2 linked regions of the Elephas maximus indicus genome follow. The protein of the gene in region 1 interacts with the protein of each later gene in a biochemical or structural test. Links are inferred from orthologs where the notes say so. Each region holds a gene or a part of one and is shown on either strand. Other genes may lie near its edges.

Region 1 (9,372 bases):
TTCACCACAATTAACATAAAGCAGTAGAGGTTTTCACCACATTTTTCAGGCAGTTCTGATTTCCAAAATAGCTAAATGTAAGGCAATTAGAAATAAATTAAAATTAGAGAAAAGTTTACTCTCATGATTTTAATACTGGACAGCACATGTAAAAATGTAATACTGGACTTTTCCTCTGGTATCTAAATCATTTTTATTATGCTAAAAAAAGTTTTGTCATTGAGACAGAGCCCCAACTAATGGGGGTGATATTGTTAACTCTTCTCTGCAAGTCCTGTAAGTATGCACAACCCACAACTCTAAAGAACAAAGGAACAGACTATCTCCCTGGCTGGCCCAGAGTAGCTTGATTAAAAAAATATGGTGGTATTACGAATTTTTATATTTAAGATATCAAAGTATCCTTTAAAAATTCATTCAATATATTCAATTTAGCAATTAAGAGGCTATACAGTTTTGGGGGAGAATATAGTCCTGTTCTTGAAGAATTTATAATCTAGTTAGAGACAAATTATATGGGTATAAAACACCCCCAAAACAAATTAAATCAGTGTAGGATATTATTTTCTTGGCTTTCTAGGGCTTTCATAATCCAACTCTACTTTTTCACTACTCGTCCTGGAGAATATTCTTCTGTAACTAGGCAGATCTGCTAAGTCTCCTCCATACTGGTTATAAATAAGGATGCCTCTCCCTGCCCCCAAACCAAAAATTGTATCTAAAAACCAGTCCCTGCTTTCCATGTACTGAAGTATAAAGAGGCTGAGTTGATAATTAAGTTTCTTACATTCATAGCCCAGGGGCGGCGGGGAAGGAGCAGGCAGTGGGTAGGTGGTTTCAGGGGGATATTCCAGAGGGGCCTCAGGGAGAAGCCTGAACTGTTTTGGAGCCACAACTGTAGGTGCCTCACTTGTGACTGTGACCGGATCCCTCGGCTGTGCCCGTCCCCAGCCTCTCTCTGCCCTAGTAGGTGCTGGAGACAGGCATCTTAGAGCACCCCTCCACCTCACTCTACAAAGGCCGTTCCTCTTTCCTCAGACAGATAAAACTCGTTGCCATCGAGTCAATTCCGACTCATAGTGACTCAATAGGACAGAGTGGAACTGCCCGTAGGGTTTCCAAGGAGCAGCTGGTGGATTTGAGCTGCCAACCTTTTGGTTAGCAGCTGACCTTTTTTTCTTGTTTATTGTACTTTAGATGAAGGTTTACAGAACAAACTAGTTTCTCAGGAAAGTTAGTACACATATTGTTTTATGACATTGGTTAACAACCCCATGACATGTCAACACTCTCCCTTCTTGACCTTGGTTCCCTATTACCAGCTTTCCTGTCCCCTCCTGCCTTCAAGTCCCTGCCCCTGGGCTGTTGTGCCCCTTTAATCTTGTTTTGTTTTATAGCCCTGTCTAATCTTTGGCTGAAGGGTGAACCTTGGGAGTGGCTTCATTATTGAGCTGAAAGGGTGTCCAGGGGCCATACTTTCAGGGTTTCTCCAGTCTCCATCAGGCCAGCAAGACGGGTCTTTCTTTTTGAGTTAGAATTTTCTCCAGCTCTGTCTGGGATCCTCTATTCTGATCCCTGTCAGAGCAGTCAGTGGTGGTAGCCAGGCAGCACCTAGTAGTACTGGCCTCAGTCTGGTGGAGGCCGTAGCAGCTGTGGTCCATTAGTTCTTTGGACTAAACTTTCCCTTGTATGTTTAGTTTTCTTATCTCTCCCTTGCTCCCAAAGGGGTGAGACCAGTGGAGTATCCTAGATGGCCACTCAGGCTTTTAAGACCCCAGACACTACTCACCCAAGTAGAACACAGAACATTTTCTTTATAAACTATGTTATACCAGTTGAGCTAGATGTTCCCCGAGACCACGGAAGCAGCTGACCTTTTAACTACTGTGCCACCAGGGCTCATAGGAGGGGGTTAATTTGGTTTCAGTTTCCTTATTTATAAGCACACTGTAATCATATCTTTTTGAGATCACCTTGAAAAGAGCCTTCCTTCTACTAGTGTTTCCGAGCTCTGGAGTTTGATGACCAAGGTTTGAATCCCATCTCTTTGATCTTGGGCAAGTGACTTGGGCTCTGTGTTTCAGGGTCCTCTTCTGTAACCAAAACTAAACCCATTACCACCAAGTCAATTCCGACTCACAGCGATCCTACAGAGTTTCCAAGGAGTGCCTCGTAGATCTGAACTGCTGACCTTTTTAGCAGCCATAACTCATAACCACTATGCCACCAGTTTCCTCTTCTATAACATGAGGCTAATAACATGGTTGTCTTGAGAATTAAATGAGATAACACGTAAGTTTAGACCAATGCCTAAGATATTATATAGACTTTGGCTTTGAAATTTGTGTAGGCTCTGTGCTCAGTTGGCCTTGTGGTCATTAAACCATGAGGGTCTCTCTCTCCTTTTCCTATTTCTCAGCTGGATATATTTATGGATGTACTTATTTAGCTGATTATTTAATTAAAAATTTTTTTTTTGTTAAATATCCTGTTGTAATCAGGAATTATAAGACAATCACCCAGAATCACTACATCCGGAGCTACTATATCTAACATTCGTCTGTATACTTTTCTGGACTTAAATGTATATATACGTATACACACACATACATATATATAATCGTTATACAAGATTAGATACTGCACTCGATTTTGTCACATGCTTTTTCCTTGAGCACATCTACTACACTGTAAGTTCCACCAGGGGACAAATCATGAGGTTTTGTTCACCAGTGCAGGCTCACAGCAGGACTCAGAAAAAACCAAGGAATGAATGTCTCCACTTCAATAATCACACATCCACAAAATGATGAATCACAACATTTTCCCATATAGGTGTAGAATAGCTTCCGCAACCAGTTTTCTATCTTGGAAATTGACTTGTTTCCAATTTGTCTCTAGTTTCTAGCCATCTGTATTTTTGAAAAAAAAAAAAAAATTTAAATGTTAAAAAAAAGCACAAAGTATTTATTTATTTATTTTTAATATAGCACATATTAGTGAGCCCACCACCCAGAATCAACAAATTTTAAGGTTTTTTCCTGGTTAGCTTCATATTTAAAAAAAAAAAAAAGCTATGAAGAATTGCAGATAAAATTGAAGTCCCTATTTTTCTCTCCCCACTTCCATTTCCCTCCCTCCCTCTGAAGAGAAAACAGCTGTCATAAATTCGGTGTGTACTCCTGCAGTTCATGTCTATATTTACATAAAGTGTATGTAGACTGTAGATTCTGTGGGATTTTTTATTTATAAATGTGGTACAATAGTGTATATAAAGTTTTGCTACTTTTGTTTCACTCCATAACTGGTTTTGTATTCTATCCACGATCATTTATTCTTTGACAAACAGAGGGCTAGTCCATTCACTTAGCTACTGTATATGTTCCATCATTTGAATACCCACCCTTTATTTTCTGGCTCCCCTACTGTTGGATGGAAACCCTGGTGGCTTAGTGGTTAAGTGCTACTGCTGCTAACCAAGAGGTCAACAGTTCGAATCCGCCAGGCGCTCCTTGGAAACTCTATGAGGCAGTTCTCCATCCTATAGGGTTGCTATGAGTTGTAATCAATCACTCGATGGCAGTGGGTTGGTTTTGGTTTTTCTATTGTTGGAAATTTGCATTGTTGCCTATTTTTCACTATTGCAAACAATGCTATAATGGTCACCGTAATTGCAAATTTTTTTACAGGATATTTTACATGCAGATTTAAGAGTCAGTTAAATTCCTTTTACTTTACATTATTTCATTTGATGAAAGGTTTTTTTTTTTTAATTTTTTATTAAATTATGTTTACCCCTCTGAAAACAGAGCAGGGGCAGGCCCTTTAAACAGTGGGAACCAGGCAGCCAGTCTGTGGGTTGGGATTGGGGTGGAGTATGATCAGGGTATGAGTGAAAAGACAGAGATAATATTCTTGGTGAACACCAACCCACCAACCAACCCACCAAAACCCCTAAGCCGTTGCCATGGGATAATTCTGACTCATAGCGACCATATAAGACAGGAAGAACTGCCCCACAGGGTTTTCAAGGAGCGGCTGGTGGATTCGAGCTGTTGGTGGACTAGAACAGGCGACCTTTTTGGTTAGCGGCCTGAGCTCTTAATAACCGCGCCACCAGAGCTTACATTGGAAACATTTGTTTCCAATGCTGGGCAGGATCCGCGGGTAAAGTACAGTATGAGGTTAAAAAATGAAATTGAATTCTAAGCTGCATGATGATGACTTAACACATCAGAGCTCAAACAGAGAAACCAGGAGGCGGCTCTGAGGAGATTCCCTAAAGAGCTAAGGCCATAAAGCCCGGTAGGATTAAAAAGAGTAAAAGCTGGGAGAATGGAGAACAAGTACCTGAAGGCTCGTGAGGATGTTAAAATAGTTCAGAGATAATAACCTTCATTACTGTTTCTCTGGAGATTAAAATTTAAAAACCTCATAAGAGTTTATTACAGAGAAAACTGGGTTGCCTTTTAAAAGTATATTAGCCCTCACCATCACTTTCACCACTGCAGGTGGTGGGAGGTGTGCTAGGAGGTGAAGGCGCATCAGAAATGGATTCCGAATCTGACTTCCAGCCTTACTTCCACAGCGCCTCGACGCAACCCTGCGTTGTGTCCTGTCCCAAACCCACGGCCATAACGGTCCCAGTGCGCATCCACCCTCTCACTTGTTGGTGAATGTCACTGTGCTGCTCTGCATGCCGTAAACACGTCTCACAAACAGAATGCAAAAGCTCGGGGAGTGATGGGGTCTGCCTGTATGAAGGCACCCGGCAGCCGTCCTCCTCTAGTCCTCGGTTCCATGGTCCTATCAGCTCTCTGTCCCTTCCTGCTCTGATCTGAGAGGCTGGCGCCTTCTTGCTCCCTCCGCCGCTCATTCAGGCCTGTTAACTCACTTGCTTCGCCGAGCAGGGCGTTGGGAGCCTGGAAAGCCGCGGCACTCACGGCACTGGGTGACTGCGAACCTCGGCAATGGAGGGCCCGGCAGGAGGGCGGACGGGCGGGGGCAGGAAGGGCGAGGGCGGCCCGGACGGGCGTCCGTCCATCTGTCCGTCGGTCGGAGCGCGCCGGGCCAGGCCCCGCCCGGCTGGTATGCGGCCGGGAGTGACGCGGGCGGCGGCTCACGTGACTCCCGTGGAATGCCAACAATGTAGCGAATGTCCCACTTGGGGTGCGCTCTGGAGCCCGGCGCTAGCGCCCGACGATGGAGCCGCCGCCGCCCGCGCCGCCCGTGGAGCCCCCTTCGCCGCGGGGCCCGCAGCGGCCCCGGCCTCGGGTGCCCCGCCGCTCGGCCCGCGAGGCCACAGAGCCGAGAGTGGGGGCCGCCCCGCGAGCCTAGACCGCGCCCGGAGGTGAGAGACGCCGGGGGCGGGCGGCGGCCGGCGGGCTAAGGGCCGCCCGTGGAAAGTTGGCCGCGGGCTCCTCCGCACCCTCCGCCGCGGCTGGGGTTCCGGGGACGGCCTGACCGAGGGGCGGGAGTGAGAGCGAAGGGACTCTCCCCGGACCGAGGTCACCCTCCGCCCTGGCCCGCGTAGCCCGGCCTGGGCGAAGGCGTCGGGGAGCCGCCCCGGCTGGCGGCGCGCGTGGGGGCTCCGGGCCGCGAGCAGCGGAAGTTTGGGCAAGTTGGCGGGCCGGGCCGGAGCTTGTACGGCGGCTGCGGCGGCGGCCCGGTGCGCGGCGCTTTGTTGTGCGCCGGCCCGCCGCTGGGCCGGCCGGTCCCGGGAGCAGTCGTGACAGCGCGCCGATCCCCGCGCGCCCCCAGGCCGCGGCCCCGGACGGGTAGGGTGAGGGGCGGGCGCCGGCGCGGGCGCGCTCTGGATTTTCTCAGCCAGCGCCTAGAGTTCGTAGGACCCGGTCCGAGTTTCGGGAACACTTTGGGGCGGTGAAAGTGGTGGCAGTTGCATAACACGCCTTTCCTGCGTCCCGGCTGAGTCGACTTTTCTGGGACTCGACTTCTCTAATGCAAATCACATGCAGTCAGCTAGCTTCCCGGCCACGCTCTGGAGATGCGGGCTCGGCTGTGATTCATATTTTTGTCAGTCACTTTCTGTCGTTCCTGACTTTGAAAACTTAAGGAAGAGCATCTCCGTGGGGGATGAGATCCGGACAGCGGGGCTGGGCAGGAGTGCCTCGCTGGAGCAAACCTCGGTCTGTTGACTCGGTCGCCTGTGCGCATGGGGCGGGCGGAGGCAGACAGAAGAACACACCTTCCGGCACCTTGTGACCCGGTTTGGTGAGCGACAGCTTCCCGAAAACATGGCGAGGAGAACGTAAGGCCGGGGACGGGTCTTGAGGCCCTCGAGTGGGAAGTATTCTTTTGCAAACATAACCGTGAACGTACACTATACTTGTATATTTTGTTATACTCACCAAAAAAAGAAAATTTTTCACATTTTTGTAGGATAAATGAGTGTTCTTAACATACTTATTGTCTAGGCTTTTTGAAATTATTTAGCGTTAATTATTTTATTAAGCTAGGGAGAATACATTTGGCAGGTGGAAATTAAAATTAATAGCAGGACAGCTCTCTTCACAAAGTATTCAGCAAATAGGCACACTTTTTAGGAAAGTTTCTGAGCACATTTTACTAAGAAACTTGAATACACTGAAATCTGAATGGAGAGTCACAAAGTGTGTGTGATCTGAGTACAGGTGTTCTGGTTAAAATTTTAATTTAGTAGATGAGGGGTCTTTCCTTAGTAATGGAGAAAGTAGCTTGTGTCTGGCTTATTGGGATGTTTGTGCTAAATAGATCTTGCTCTGTGTTTTCAGTTTAATCTCTGCATAAGCGTCAGCATGATGGATCACCATTCTTAATCAAGAGACTAAGCTTCATTGTATCTTTTAAGTTTTTTCTTCAGGGACTGCTGTAATGAGTTAGTACCAGATAAATCTTCCAAAATAAGAATGCAGAGACTGTTAAAGTCTGTTTTAAATTAACAATAATTAACAAGATACAATGTTCAGTCTCATAAAATTTTGTTTCATTATCCAGGCCTATGGAGCACTGTTTAATGACTGTGCCAGCATGCCTTTGAAATTAAACTGCTGAACGTTTAATAAATCTGAAAATGTCCAGCAATTTTGAAATGATGTTTGAGTGGAGGATATCATGCAAAATTATTAAGGTGAATTATTAGAGTCATAGATTTTAAAACTGAAAGGGATTCCTTTAGCCTCTTCAACTAGTTTGAAATGGTTTTAACTTAAGTGGGAATTGAAATTGTACATATTTCTTAGCAAATCAAGGGGTTGGTGGGAGGGCCTTTCCTTTGGTGGGAGGGGAATGCTTTTACAATAGGATGCCTTGTTATTTTAAATGCTGAGTTGTGAATAGCCAGCCTTGGGTCCCATAGAGGGCAAGAGGAAGCTGATAAATTCACTGTAAACACACAGAAAGTGGAATAGGGTTTTGGGAAGCTTTTGGGAGTGGTGGTGGAATGTTCTGTGTTGTATTAGAAAAACCAGACCAACTCAGTTTTTGAAAAGCTGCTTTTATATTTTATTTCACAGTAATAATAATGTGAAACTTCTGACTAATAGATACCTTATTGACTTTTTAAATAGTGGGTTTGTAAAAATACAGAGGATAAGTTTACTTTGTCTTGACTGTAAATCTTAAAAAAAAAAGGAGCAAAATATTCTCATCCATGGTCTGAAAAGATTGCACTTGATAATAGAAGAATTTGGTCTCCTTCATCTTTTTTTTTTTCTTTTTAAAAAATCTGTTGACTCCATGACAACTAACAACAACAACGTTGATTAGTAAATTGTCTGGATAGAGCTGGGCAGGCAAATTGTACAACTCCAGGGGGCACCGTTCCCATTGAATGCTAAGTAAATGGTGCTTTGTGTAATGGGGTCCATTTACATGGAGTACCATGTGAATGGTGTCTTTTGTGAAGATTTCATTTAGTGTTAGTTGTTTTTCCGGTATTTTTAAGGGTATTTGATATACAGTGTCATTTTGGAAGTATCAGTAAAACAAGATAATGTTGAAAATAAAGATATTGGTTATGATGCTAAAATTAGGATGGAAATTTAGCATTCCTTAATGTTTACCGTTTACCATATGAAGACTTTGTGTTGGTTACTATCTAGAACAAGTCAGCTGAATTATGACCAGTGTTTTTTTTTTTAGTTTATTAAAAAGAATATTAAAAGACGATACTCTTTTTGTTCATATGTCAGTATTTGACAGGAATTTTTCTGGAGGAAAAGTGAAAAATCTCCTATTTTGTAGCTGTGGTTTGTATTTATTAATGCTGATTGTGAAGATATTGAGGCATAATGCAAGTCTCATAGCCCCAAAATCAGGATGGTAAGGATCTTAACAATGTAAGTTGGAATTTGAATGGAGGGGGCCTCTGGAGTATTGGGCCTCACTGCCTCCAGGCAGTTATCTTGAATAGGAATGCTAAGGACCAACACATTCTTTTACTAATTTACTGCATAGTACCTCACTAGCCTCAAGTCTATTTTTTCAGTAAATGTATCCAGTAACACCTGCACCTCCTCAACATTGCTGCTCATCTTTCTTTTCTATGTGTAAGCCTTTTCACAGGAAGTTCTAGACTCCAAGAATAGCTTCATACTTCGTCCATCAAATCGTAGCCTTTCCAATATTGGTGAAACTTTCCTTTCTTGAGGAGGCTTTCTCCACATAATTTGAACACCTGCCTGAAGCATTGTTCCTCCATAGCGATAGACACATACACTGGGATCTTTGGGCAGCAGCAGTATTACCTTTCCTTAGGGCAGTGATTCTGAAATGGCCTGGGAGTCATACTCCTTAGTATGCGATAGCTGAAACTTGGGAGGGGGCTGGGTGCAGAGGAGGCAGCGCTTTCTCAAAGATTGAGAATCCCTGTTGGAGTATGGAATTGAATATAAGGAGACTCATCCTGTTCAGTTGTTTGCTGTTTTGCTTTTTTAACTAGAAATGCCAGAAAGAACTGACAAATTTATCAGTAACCTGGTCGCTCCATTTGGATATCTTGAGTGCAGACTTCTGTGGCTTCTTTTTGTTATGCCATTATTCATATTTGTGTACAAATATATTGCATGAATAACATGTACAAAGCTGTCTAATAGGATGTGCTGTCTTGTTTTTCCTTTGGATTGTAAGTTTATTTAGAGGTGAGAGTCTGGCCTGCCTACCTGAAACCGCATGACCATCACAGCATTAGGCATACGTATGGTACTTCCAAACACACTGAATTTTTATGATGACACCGTTTATTGGCGAGTGGGACTTTTTTATAAAGTGAGTTTTCCTGGATGCCCAGAGGCCTGTAGTCATTGGTTTCCTCAGAAACCCTTATGACAGGGTAGCCCCCATTGTTTGGTTTGCTGACAAAACAATCCTGGAGTG
Region 2 (9,903 bases), on another chromosome or scaffold:
CTCTGTTATGAAACCCTGGTGGCATAGTAGTTAAGAGCTATGGCGGCTAACCAAGAGGTCGGTAGTTTGAATCCACCAGGCGCTCCTTGGAAACGTATGGGGCAGTTCTACTTTGTTCTATAGGGTCACTATAAGTCGGAATTGACTTGACAGCAACAGGTTTGGTTTGGTTGGTTGTTACAGATTAAACTGTATCCCCCAATACAGGTGTTAGAATCCTAACTTCTATACCTGTGGATGTAATGCTGTTTGAAAACAGGGTTTCTTGGTTGTGTCAATTAGATCACACCTGAGGAAGGTGGGTTCTAAATCTAATCACTTCTGAGTTACAAAAAGAAGACATCAGACACAGAGACATGCACACAGAGTGGCAAACAGATGTCATGAGAAGATTGCCAAGGAACCCAGGAATGCCCAGGGCTACAGACAAACAAGGAATCAACACTATTGAGGCTCTGATTTGGACTTTTAACCTCCAGAACTATGAGAATATAAATTTCTGTTCTCTAAAGCCACCCACTTGTAGTATTTCTGATACAGCAGCACTAGGTAATTAAGACACTCTCTGTACCAGTTTCTTCATCTATAAAATGTGGTTCCTGGTAGTTACTAAACTGAGTTAATTATTTCAAGCACTTAGTGCTTGGCACCTAGTAAGCACTCAGCAAACTATAATTATTATTACGATAACTATTAATTTTTTTTACAGGTGAGGATGCTTAAGTACTAAAACCAAAAACCCATTCCTGTTAAGTTGATTACAACTCACAGCGACCCCATGTGTTACAGAGTAGAACTACTTCATAGGGTTTTCCTGGCTGTAATCTTTACAGGGAAACCCTGGTGGCATAGTGGTTAAGAGCTACAGCTACTAACTACAAGGTTGGCAATTCGAATCTACCAGGCGCTCCTTGGAAACCCGATGGGGCAGTTCTACCGGGTACTATAGGGTCACTCACTATGAGTCAGAATAGCAGATTTGGACTTTTTTGGTAATCTTTACAGAAACAGATCTTCAGGTCTTTTTTCCAGGCTGCCATGGGCGGGGGTGGTGGGGAGGGTAGTTCAAACCACCAGTTTTTAGGTTAGTAGCTAAGCAGTCAAATGGTAACCATTTGTGCCACCCAGAGCTGAAGTACTAAAATCAGTTAAATCATTGCCTGACAACAAAGACAGTACGTATTGTTTGTTTGTGGGTTTGGTTTTTTTTTGCAAGCAAGATTGTATCATGTGCATATCGCAGGTTGTTAATAAGTCTTCCACCAATCCTGATACTGTATTCTTCTTCATAAAGTCCAGCTTCTCAGATTATTCCATGGATTACAACCTCCTAATAAGGAGTCACGGGTTAGTGCAAGCTCTTAAACACGCAAAGCTGCTAACTAAATGTTTCAGGTTCAAGTCCACCCAGAGGTTCCTCAGAAGAAGGACGTGGTTCTACTTCCAAAAAACCAGCCATTGAAAACCTATGGAGAACAGTTCTACTCTGACACACATGGGATCACCATGAGTTGGAATCAACTTGACGGCAACTGGTTTTACCATATATATAATTTACTGATGTTTAGAGTTTATGGTTCCTTACTAGAACTAGGCCAGGTATTTTTGTCTGTTTTATTCATTAATGATAGCCAGTGCCTAGATCAGTGCCTGGCACAATGAATAATTTCAAATTCTTTCCATTTCTTACAGCCCTCATGAGTCACGAATCATCACTTTCTGAACCCTATCTCACATTGCCCTTATTTCCTCTGTTCCATCCACTTAGAGTAGCCTTCTAAGTAGGCTTCCAAGAACTGGAGGAAAATATTTTTACTTAACTCCGAAACTGTAACTCTTCCTTTCTCTACTCATCTTTTAGTATAGAAATAGTATTCAGGAAACTATACCAAATGACAAACAGATAAAATAATCAAAACTTTCCCCTTTCACTTCCAATACTGATCTACACAGTCTTCCCTTTAGATTTTAAGCTACTGGTAGACAAACACTAAATCTAAAAATGTCTGATTAACTTTTTGTATTGTGTAGCACATGGATGGGCTAAATGTCGCGAATACTCTAAATGCTATGTGACCTGACTGAAAAGTTGTGCCTCAAAGAGTGCAAACCCCCTAATGTGCTATATACATCAGTTATGGCAAGATTTTTCTTACATAGCTAATGTGCTTCAGGAAAAAGGGAACTTATCCATGCCATTTCTGAATCTATAAACATCGAGCCATGTAAAAATAGGAACCTATTGTATTTGTATTCAGAAAATAGTACCAGGACCTTCTCCACCCTTTATTTCCAGCCAAATATGGCTCTTCCCAGCTTGGACAAATTTAGCTTATGAGTTCCAAGAGACTCAAGCCCACCAACAGCAGCCACTGACATCATCTACATTACTATTTCCAATACAGTTTTTTAAATCTTGAAAAGAATCAAACATCAGCAATATAAAATTATACTCAAGCTTCAAGCTGAGATGCCTGTACACGTCGATTCAAACTAAAACTGGAAACAAAGACTTCTTTAAAGTCACTCAGTCCTCTCATCTAGCACTATTCCAATCTGACAAACTCAAAATCAACTTCTAGGATGAGCCTAACAAAGGGGTTTCATAAGATTAAACACATTAGGCAGGTTGACACCAGCCAGGGGCCAGGCCCCCTGTGCTTTTTAGAAATATTGGCAAGTCCTGGTGGTCAGCCTTCTGTGACAGCTCAATTTTGCTTACATGCACTAAAAAAAATTTCCAGATTTGTGAAAATTAGTGTGGGTTGAAGTGTCAGGATTCAAATGCCAATTTGATAACTCAATATTACAGGAAGTGGGGGAAAAAAAAAATCGGACCAGAAGGTAATTTTTAAATGCTATTTTCTCCACGACTCTAAAGGAGAGTTTGGGGTGGGTTTCAACCTCCAGATTTTAATGAGTTTTCCAGGCAAAACAAAGCTGTCAAAAGAGGAATTCCTCAGGGTGTAATTCCCTGTTTTAGGATGACTGGAAGCTTGTACTTTGCCTCCATAACTCCATCTGGTCATTCCATCTTACTGCCCTTCCCCTCTCAAATTCCTCTGAAATAAACAATAAGTGAAATAATGACAAGCACTAAATAATGACAAGCACTAAACGTGATGCTAAAGTTGGCCTTTACAAATGACTTGCAAAACAACTCTCCAGTGGACCTAATCAACCTAGGGCACGCTACCCACCAGACAGTATTTGGTGGTTGTCTGAAAGAATAAAAGCCCGTACTCTTCAGGGAAGCACACTGAGAGAAAGGGTGCCTAGGGAAAGCAAAAAGCTGCTCCAGATTCTTGCCCCCAGGACCCCCAGCTGCCATCAGGAGATACTGAGCAGCAAGCAGCCTCACTTCAGTGTTAACATCCACAGGACTTGTCTCCCCAACTTCTCGCCCCCTAAGAACCAAACCCAATCCACTGCCGTCCAGTCGATTCTGACTCACAGCAACTTAGAACTGCCCCCACAGGGTTTCCAAGGCTATAATCTTTATGCAAGCTGACTGCCACATCTTTCTCCCGCGGAGCAGCTGGTAGATTCCAACCGCTGACCTTCTGGTCAGCAGCCGTGCGCGTAACCACTGCGCCACTAGGGCTCCTTTAAGACCTTTAAAAAAAAGGGGGGGGGGGAATTAAAAGAGTCCTGGAGCGACGGGAAAAGTACGAAGCTTTATCTCAGTGCATGACAATCAGAAAAAATTGGCAGCCCGGACGGGCACAGCGGACCCGCAAGCGCTGGATACGGGTCACGCGGAAGAGTGGGAGGTAGCTATGAAGAGCGTACACACAAACAAACCCGGGGATAAGTACGAAGGGAGAGGTTGAGGTGATGGGAGAAACCCGGGAGCAGGGAGAGGCGTGTATCGGGACCTTGGGGTCCGGGGAGCAAAGCCTCGTTAGGGGTTGGAGGAGTCCACGCGCGCTCGAAGAGCGCTGGGCAGGAGGCGACGGTCCGGCAGCGTCAGCGTTCCCGGCAGGTTCCCGGAGCCCTGCTCGGTGGAAACGCCCGCCCGGGCAGCAAGGACCGAGGCGGCCCGCATCCGGCACGGCCGGACCGAGCGGGGCAGCGGGTGCGGGGCCGGCGGCCCAGATCGCGCCCGAACAAAGCCGGGGCTCGGGACCTGGCTACTCACAACAAGAAGCTCATGTCGGCTGCGGCGTGGGCTGCAGGCTCAGCGGTCGCGGGGCCTCGGGGCGGCAGCGGCGGCGGCTGCCAGGGAAGAGGAGAGGCGGGAGGGAGAAGGAGGAGGGGTGCGCCGGCTGCTCCTCGGCAGCAACTTGTTCGGCTTCGCTAGTTCCAATGGCAGGCAGAGGGGGCGGAAGTGGGAAGCGCACGGCTCGAATCTCTCAGTGGGAGGGGAAGGAAAGGTAGGCGGGGCAAGGGCAGCCAGCCAGCTCCTCCGAGAACGCGAAGCTACCGCCGCGCCTCTCCCCCAACCATGCCGCAAGTCCTGCTCCCCAGCCCCCTGCCACCCCCGATTCCGCCAGCTCTCGCGAGAGCGGCGCGCTCCCAACCCGCCCCTCTGGCTGCGGCTAAGGGTGCCCTCACCTCTAGTCACCTTTGCAGCCAGAAACCACGCTTGGCGAGTGCCTCGGGATCCCGGGTTCACTGAGGCCTATCCATCCGGTTGGGGGTCCCGGCAGAACGCTCCGGGCTGCTGTGCTGGGTTTCAGCGGTCAGGGAGGAAGTGGGCTTCAGATCCAGGATGTCAGGGCCTTGCAGTGAGGGGTGGAATTGCCACCAGAGTTCCATCCATCGTGCCCAGCAAGGGACGATGAAAGGTTATGGAAACTCTTTCTCTGCTAGTATTTAAAAATAGGATGGAGTTTCATCTGGTTGAAATGGTTTGGGTGTGGCTCTACCACGGGAGAGGAAAGGGACTAATTTTCAACATCTTGGTCGTTTTGTAGGTATATTTTAAAACCCTGAACTAGGAGGAGGTCAAGGTCCATCATCACTGTCTGAACTGGCAAGCTAGACTGTCTTCAAAACTGGGAAAACTGAAGGCGCCAAGGGGGAGAGCTGAGGCCAGTTCATCATGGGTCCCAGCGTGGTAGGCTGATCAGCAATGGCAATAATGATTACGCATGTATGGGCTGACGTCAGTTACAACCGCTGGACACTCATGCACAAAACGTTGTAGAGGCGAGAAAGCACCAGAAAGCACCAGTCCCCCTTACGGAGAGCCTTTCATTCTCACATGGTTAAGGGGCATGGGGCAAATCTTTATATATTTAAGAATGGCCCACATTCCTTGAACGAGTCACCATAGCATTATCAATTGCTAGGAAAATATGTTGTTGTTAGCCGTTGAGTCGGTTCAGTCTCATAGTGACCCTATGTACAACAGAAGGAAACCCTGCCCTGAGGAATCCTCACAATTGTTATGCTTCAGCCCATTGCTGCAGCCACTGTGTCAATCCATCTATTGAGGGTCGTTTTCATTTTCACTGACCCTCCACTTTACCAAGCATAATGTCCTTCTCCAGGGACTGATCCCTCCTGATAACATGTCCAAAGTATGTGAGTACATACTCTCACTATCCTTGCTTCTAAGGAGCATTTTGGCTGTACTTCTTCCAAGACAGATTTTTTCCGGGGGGGGGGGGGGGGCTGGGAGGGTGGAGGGTGGGAGGTGTGGGGGGAGTATTTTACACAAGAAGTGTCCCTGTTCTTTACTCACAACATCATCAAATCTACAAGTAAGCTTTCAAAGAACCAGGACAAAAATTAGTGTTCAGATATTTGGAGCCCTGGTGGTGCAGTGGTTAAGAGCTACGGTGAGCTATGTCTGCTAACCAAAAGGCTGGGCAGTTCAAATCTTCCATCTGCTCCTTGGAAACTTTTTGGGGCCGTTCCACCCTGTCGAGTAGGGTCACTATGAGTCAGAATTGACTGGATGACAACGGGTTTAGTTTTTTTGGTTTTTGGCATATCATCACAAAGGGCATAGTAGATTTCAAGGGGGTGCAAATTTGAAATTTATTTGATTGGCAATGCACCTCGTGTGCAATCACCAGCCATCTGTCAGTGGAGGCTTCCATGTTGTTGTGATCCTGAACAGATTTCAGCAGAGCTTCCAAATTAAGATGGATTAAGAAGAAAGGCATTGCTATCTACTTCTGAAAGTCAGCCAATGAAAACCCTGTGGATCATAATGGTCAAATCCACAAATGATCATAGGTTTGCCACAGGGCAGAGCGGTGTATCCTTCCACTGTGCATGTGGTTCCCGTGAGTCAGGGGCTGACTCCACGGCAGCTAACAACATTGTGCATTATTAGCTTGGCACTTGGTAAGGCAAGACATTAAAAAATATATAAAATATTGGAATCTTGACACTTACCTAAGGACCGGCAGAGGGTTACTGGAATATTTTGGGAAGACTTCAAGACTCAAAAGATGCAGAAAACAAGGGAAGAGAAGAAGGATTTATCTTAATATGATGAATGTAATGGATTTTTGATATATAAGCCCTCAGTTCTGGATCTTGATATGAAAACTAGCATGCTATATAATTCCTTATGGTTCTTTTGAAGACTTGAATTACCAGAATTCTCAGAAATTATTTGAGAAGAGCAAATCAATTAATCTGTCAGAACCTCAGTTCTACCTCCTTTAAAACGAAGGCATCAGATTATTACATGATCTGTAAAATATCTTCCAGTTCTAAAATTTTGTCATGCCAGGGGCATTCTTCAAATGACTGGCACACAATGCCCAACTCTTCCCTGATTTGATAGGCTGGCTTAAGTAACCTAACTTTTTGTCTGACACAGCTTAGGTGACTCCTATGACACTGAATCAGGAGAAAGATTGGCAGAGGAGAGAATCTGCAAAAACACCTGCTAAGAAGAGTTGTCTGGATTTAACAGCTGACATATATATATATATATATATACACACACCAAACCCACTGCCACTGAGTGACTTCCAACTCATAGCGACCCTACAGGACAGAGTAGAACTGCCCCATCTGGTTTCCAAGGAGCGCCTGGTGGATTTAAACTGCCAACCATTTGGTTAGCACTGTAGCTCTTAACCACTATGTCAAAAGGGTTTCCATATGTATATATAGATGGATGGATGGATGGAAATACATACAAAAAATATATATACATGTATATAAATGTGTGTATATATATATATATATAGAAACCCTGGTGGCGTAGTGGTTAAGTGCTACAGCTGCTAACCAAAGGGTCGGCAGTTCGAATCCACCAGGCGCTCCTTGGAAACTCTATGGGGAAGTTCTACTCTGTCCTATAGGGTCGCTATGAGTCAGAATCGACTCGACGGTACTGGGTTAGGTTACACACATTTTTCCTCTCTGTCAAGGTTAAGATTTCTACCACCTTAAAGAAGATGATAGTACTTTTGTTCAGATAAATTAATCACTTCCTAGGTACTGATTAATACGTGACCTTTCCTGAATGAAGTAATACTAGTTATAGCCAGTCAATAAGGGGAAATTTCTCCTTATAGAAGTATTTCAGATTAAAAAATGAAGTAGAAACGATTGAATTATTATTTAGACTTTTGCAACCTAATAGATTAATAGATCTAGGCATTGATCAACAGCTGCTAATATCATAGTAAGAGCAAGGACCAGACTTTATGTACCTCCTGATGAAGGAGTACATAAGCACCTATGAAGAAGTCTTGCACACAAAAAAATAGAACCCGATGAAGCCTTTAGATCCAGTTACAGAAAACAGAAGAATGTGTAAGAAAGCATGTTAAGTGACACCACATGGATTCAATCAGCAAAATCTAAACTGTGAGGAAACTATCCAAGGCCTGATTTCTTCAGCAAACGAATTGCAAGGAAAAAATAGAACTGGAAGAAAAACCTAGAGATTGAAAGAGACATAGGAGACATATCAACCAATTGCAATGTGTGAACCTCATTTGGATCCTGATTCAAACAAGCAGCCTGAAAAACAACCATAAATGTTTATGTCATTTATGATATAACTGGAAATTTGAACACTGATTGGATATTTGATAACAATAAGGATTTTTTGTGAATTGTGGTAATGATGTGGTTGTGTTTTTTCTTAAAAGAGACTTTATGTTTTAGAAATATGTACCAAAATGATTTAGAGATGAAATAATTATGTCAGATTTGCTTTAAAATAACATGGGAGAGGGAAATGGACAGAAGTATAGACGAAACAAGACTGGCCGCAAGTTGATAACTGTTGAAGCCAGATGATGAGTATGGAGGCTGGGGGTAGCCACGGTACCGTTCTATTTTTGTTTAGTTTTTAAATCTTCTGTAATAAATAGACAAACAAAAATGGGTCTCCTTTTGAAAAGGCCTAGAAAAAGTGCTAAAATTGATGGGCTTTAAGAAGAGCTGATATGGAAGATAACGTTTTGGACTAGAGGGTTCTTTCCTTGTGCTCACATTATGCAGCTTATTTTGTTGTTGTAAAGATTTACCAATTCAAGGTTTTTCACGTGTACAATTTAGAAACAATAATTACATTAATCACCTTGCGCAACTGTCACCAATACCTGTTGAGGCAGATTTTTCTGTCTAATATATAAAGATGTTCTTTCACCTGTAAGGCTAAAACAGATGTTATCGATGCTAGAGCGGAGAAATGCTGAGTTCAAACCCTGTGCCTTAGTACGTGCATTAGTATTTCTTAAGCAGCTGTGATCTGACTCTGGAAGAATAGATTCCTGAACAACAAATGCTAGAAAAGCTATACCTGGGCAACAAATCCTTAGTGACTCAGTGAAGTGTACTCTGTTGTGTAGGAGTGTTTTGATTGTATAATACTTAAATTGACATGCTAAGTATTTCACCTAATTGGTTCAACTACATAAGATTGTTTTTATGTGTGTTTTTATAGCTACCATTTATTGACTTTCTTATGGGACAATCACTCTGCTAAACTTCTTCTATTTTATGTTTATTTCATTTTTTCCTTACACTGTCCCATGAGGTTGGTATTAGGTATTACAGTAAGTCCCTGGGTTATAAAAGTCCAAGTTAAGGACAACTTCTTGTACTTACCCTTTAAAAAAAAAAAAAAAATTTTTTTAATGTAAATTTGTCCTCACTTTAAAACAATTGAACCAACCCCTACTCACAGCAAATTCATCACAATCACCTTTACTTGCTGTAAGTGCGGCTTTTAAATCATTGGAAAGGCTTTGAGCTTTTTCTTGCGCTAAAACCAAAAAAAACCAAACCCATTGCCTTTGAGTCGATTGCGATTTCTTGCACTAAAAAACAAACCCACTGTCTTCGAGTAGATTCTGACTCATAGCGACCCTATAGGACAGAGTAGAACTGCCCCATAGAGTTTCCAAGGAGCGCCTGGTGGATTTGAACTGCTGACTTTTTGGTTAGCAGCTGTTGCCCTTAACAATTAAGCCACCAGGGATTCCTCTTACATTAAAGTAAAGTTAAATAATAACTGTATCTACCTGTTCTGACTTACCTACAAATTATTGAAGACACACGCAGGAACGGATCTCCTTCCTATTCCAGGGAGTGCCTGTATTTCCCCCATTTTATAGATAAGGAAACCAATGCTGAGAGGTTAAGTAACTTGCTCGAGATCACACAGCTAGTAAATATAATCTTAATTCAGGAAAATCAGTTTTCCCTTCCAAGATGGCCTAAATTAGCCTGGATATATTCTAAGTGAATTTTGGCATGCTACACAATCCCACTTAACACAGCTAATAATTCAGCCTGACTCTATCAATGCTCTGTAGGTTTTAATTCTATGTCATTTGTACATAAAAACTTCTCAAGGACATATTCATTTGATACAACAGAAAAGTGTGGAAACATGAAAGGTTGGTTTAATGAAGGCTGGCATCTTTCAGTGCATTCATTTTTCACTAAAACTCATAAACCTTCTTAGGG

What was found.
Region 2: the proteins of LATS2 (region 1) and MOB1B form a complex in vitro, tested with the Homo sapiens proteins (2 studies listed by BioGRID). The link is inferred for Elephas maximus indicus from reciprocal best matches to the Homo sapiens genes LATS2 and MOB1B.

Annotation. Positions count from the first base shown.
Region 1 is NC_064841.1:51,614,177-51,623,548, reverse strand, and holds the start of LATS2 (serine/threonine-protein kinase LATS2), read left to right. Parts: upstream 1-5,261; 5' UTR 5,262-5,350; intron 5,351-9,372. UniProt on the Homo sapiens protein: Negative regulator of YAP1 in the Hippo signaling pathway that plays a pivotal role in organ size control and tumor suppression by restricting proliferation and promoting apoptosis.
Region 2 is NC_064823.1:87,054,880-87,064,782, forward strand, and holds the start of MOB1B (MOB kinase activator 1B), read right to left. Parts: upstream 4,455-9,903; 5' UTR 4,156-4,454; coding exon 4,142-4,155; intron 3,616-4,141; exon of another isoform or gene 3,455-3,615; intron 1-3,454. UniProt on the Homo sapiens protein: Activator of LATS1/2 in the Hippo signaling pathway which plays a pivotal role in organ size control and tumor suppression by restricting proliferation and promoting apoptosis.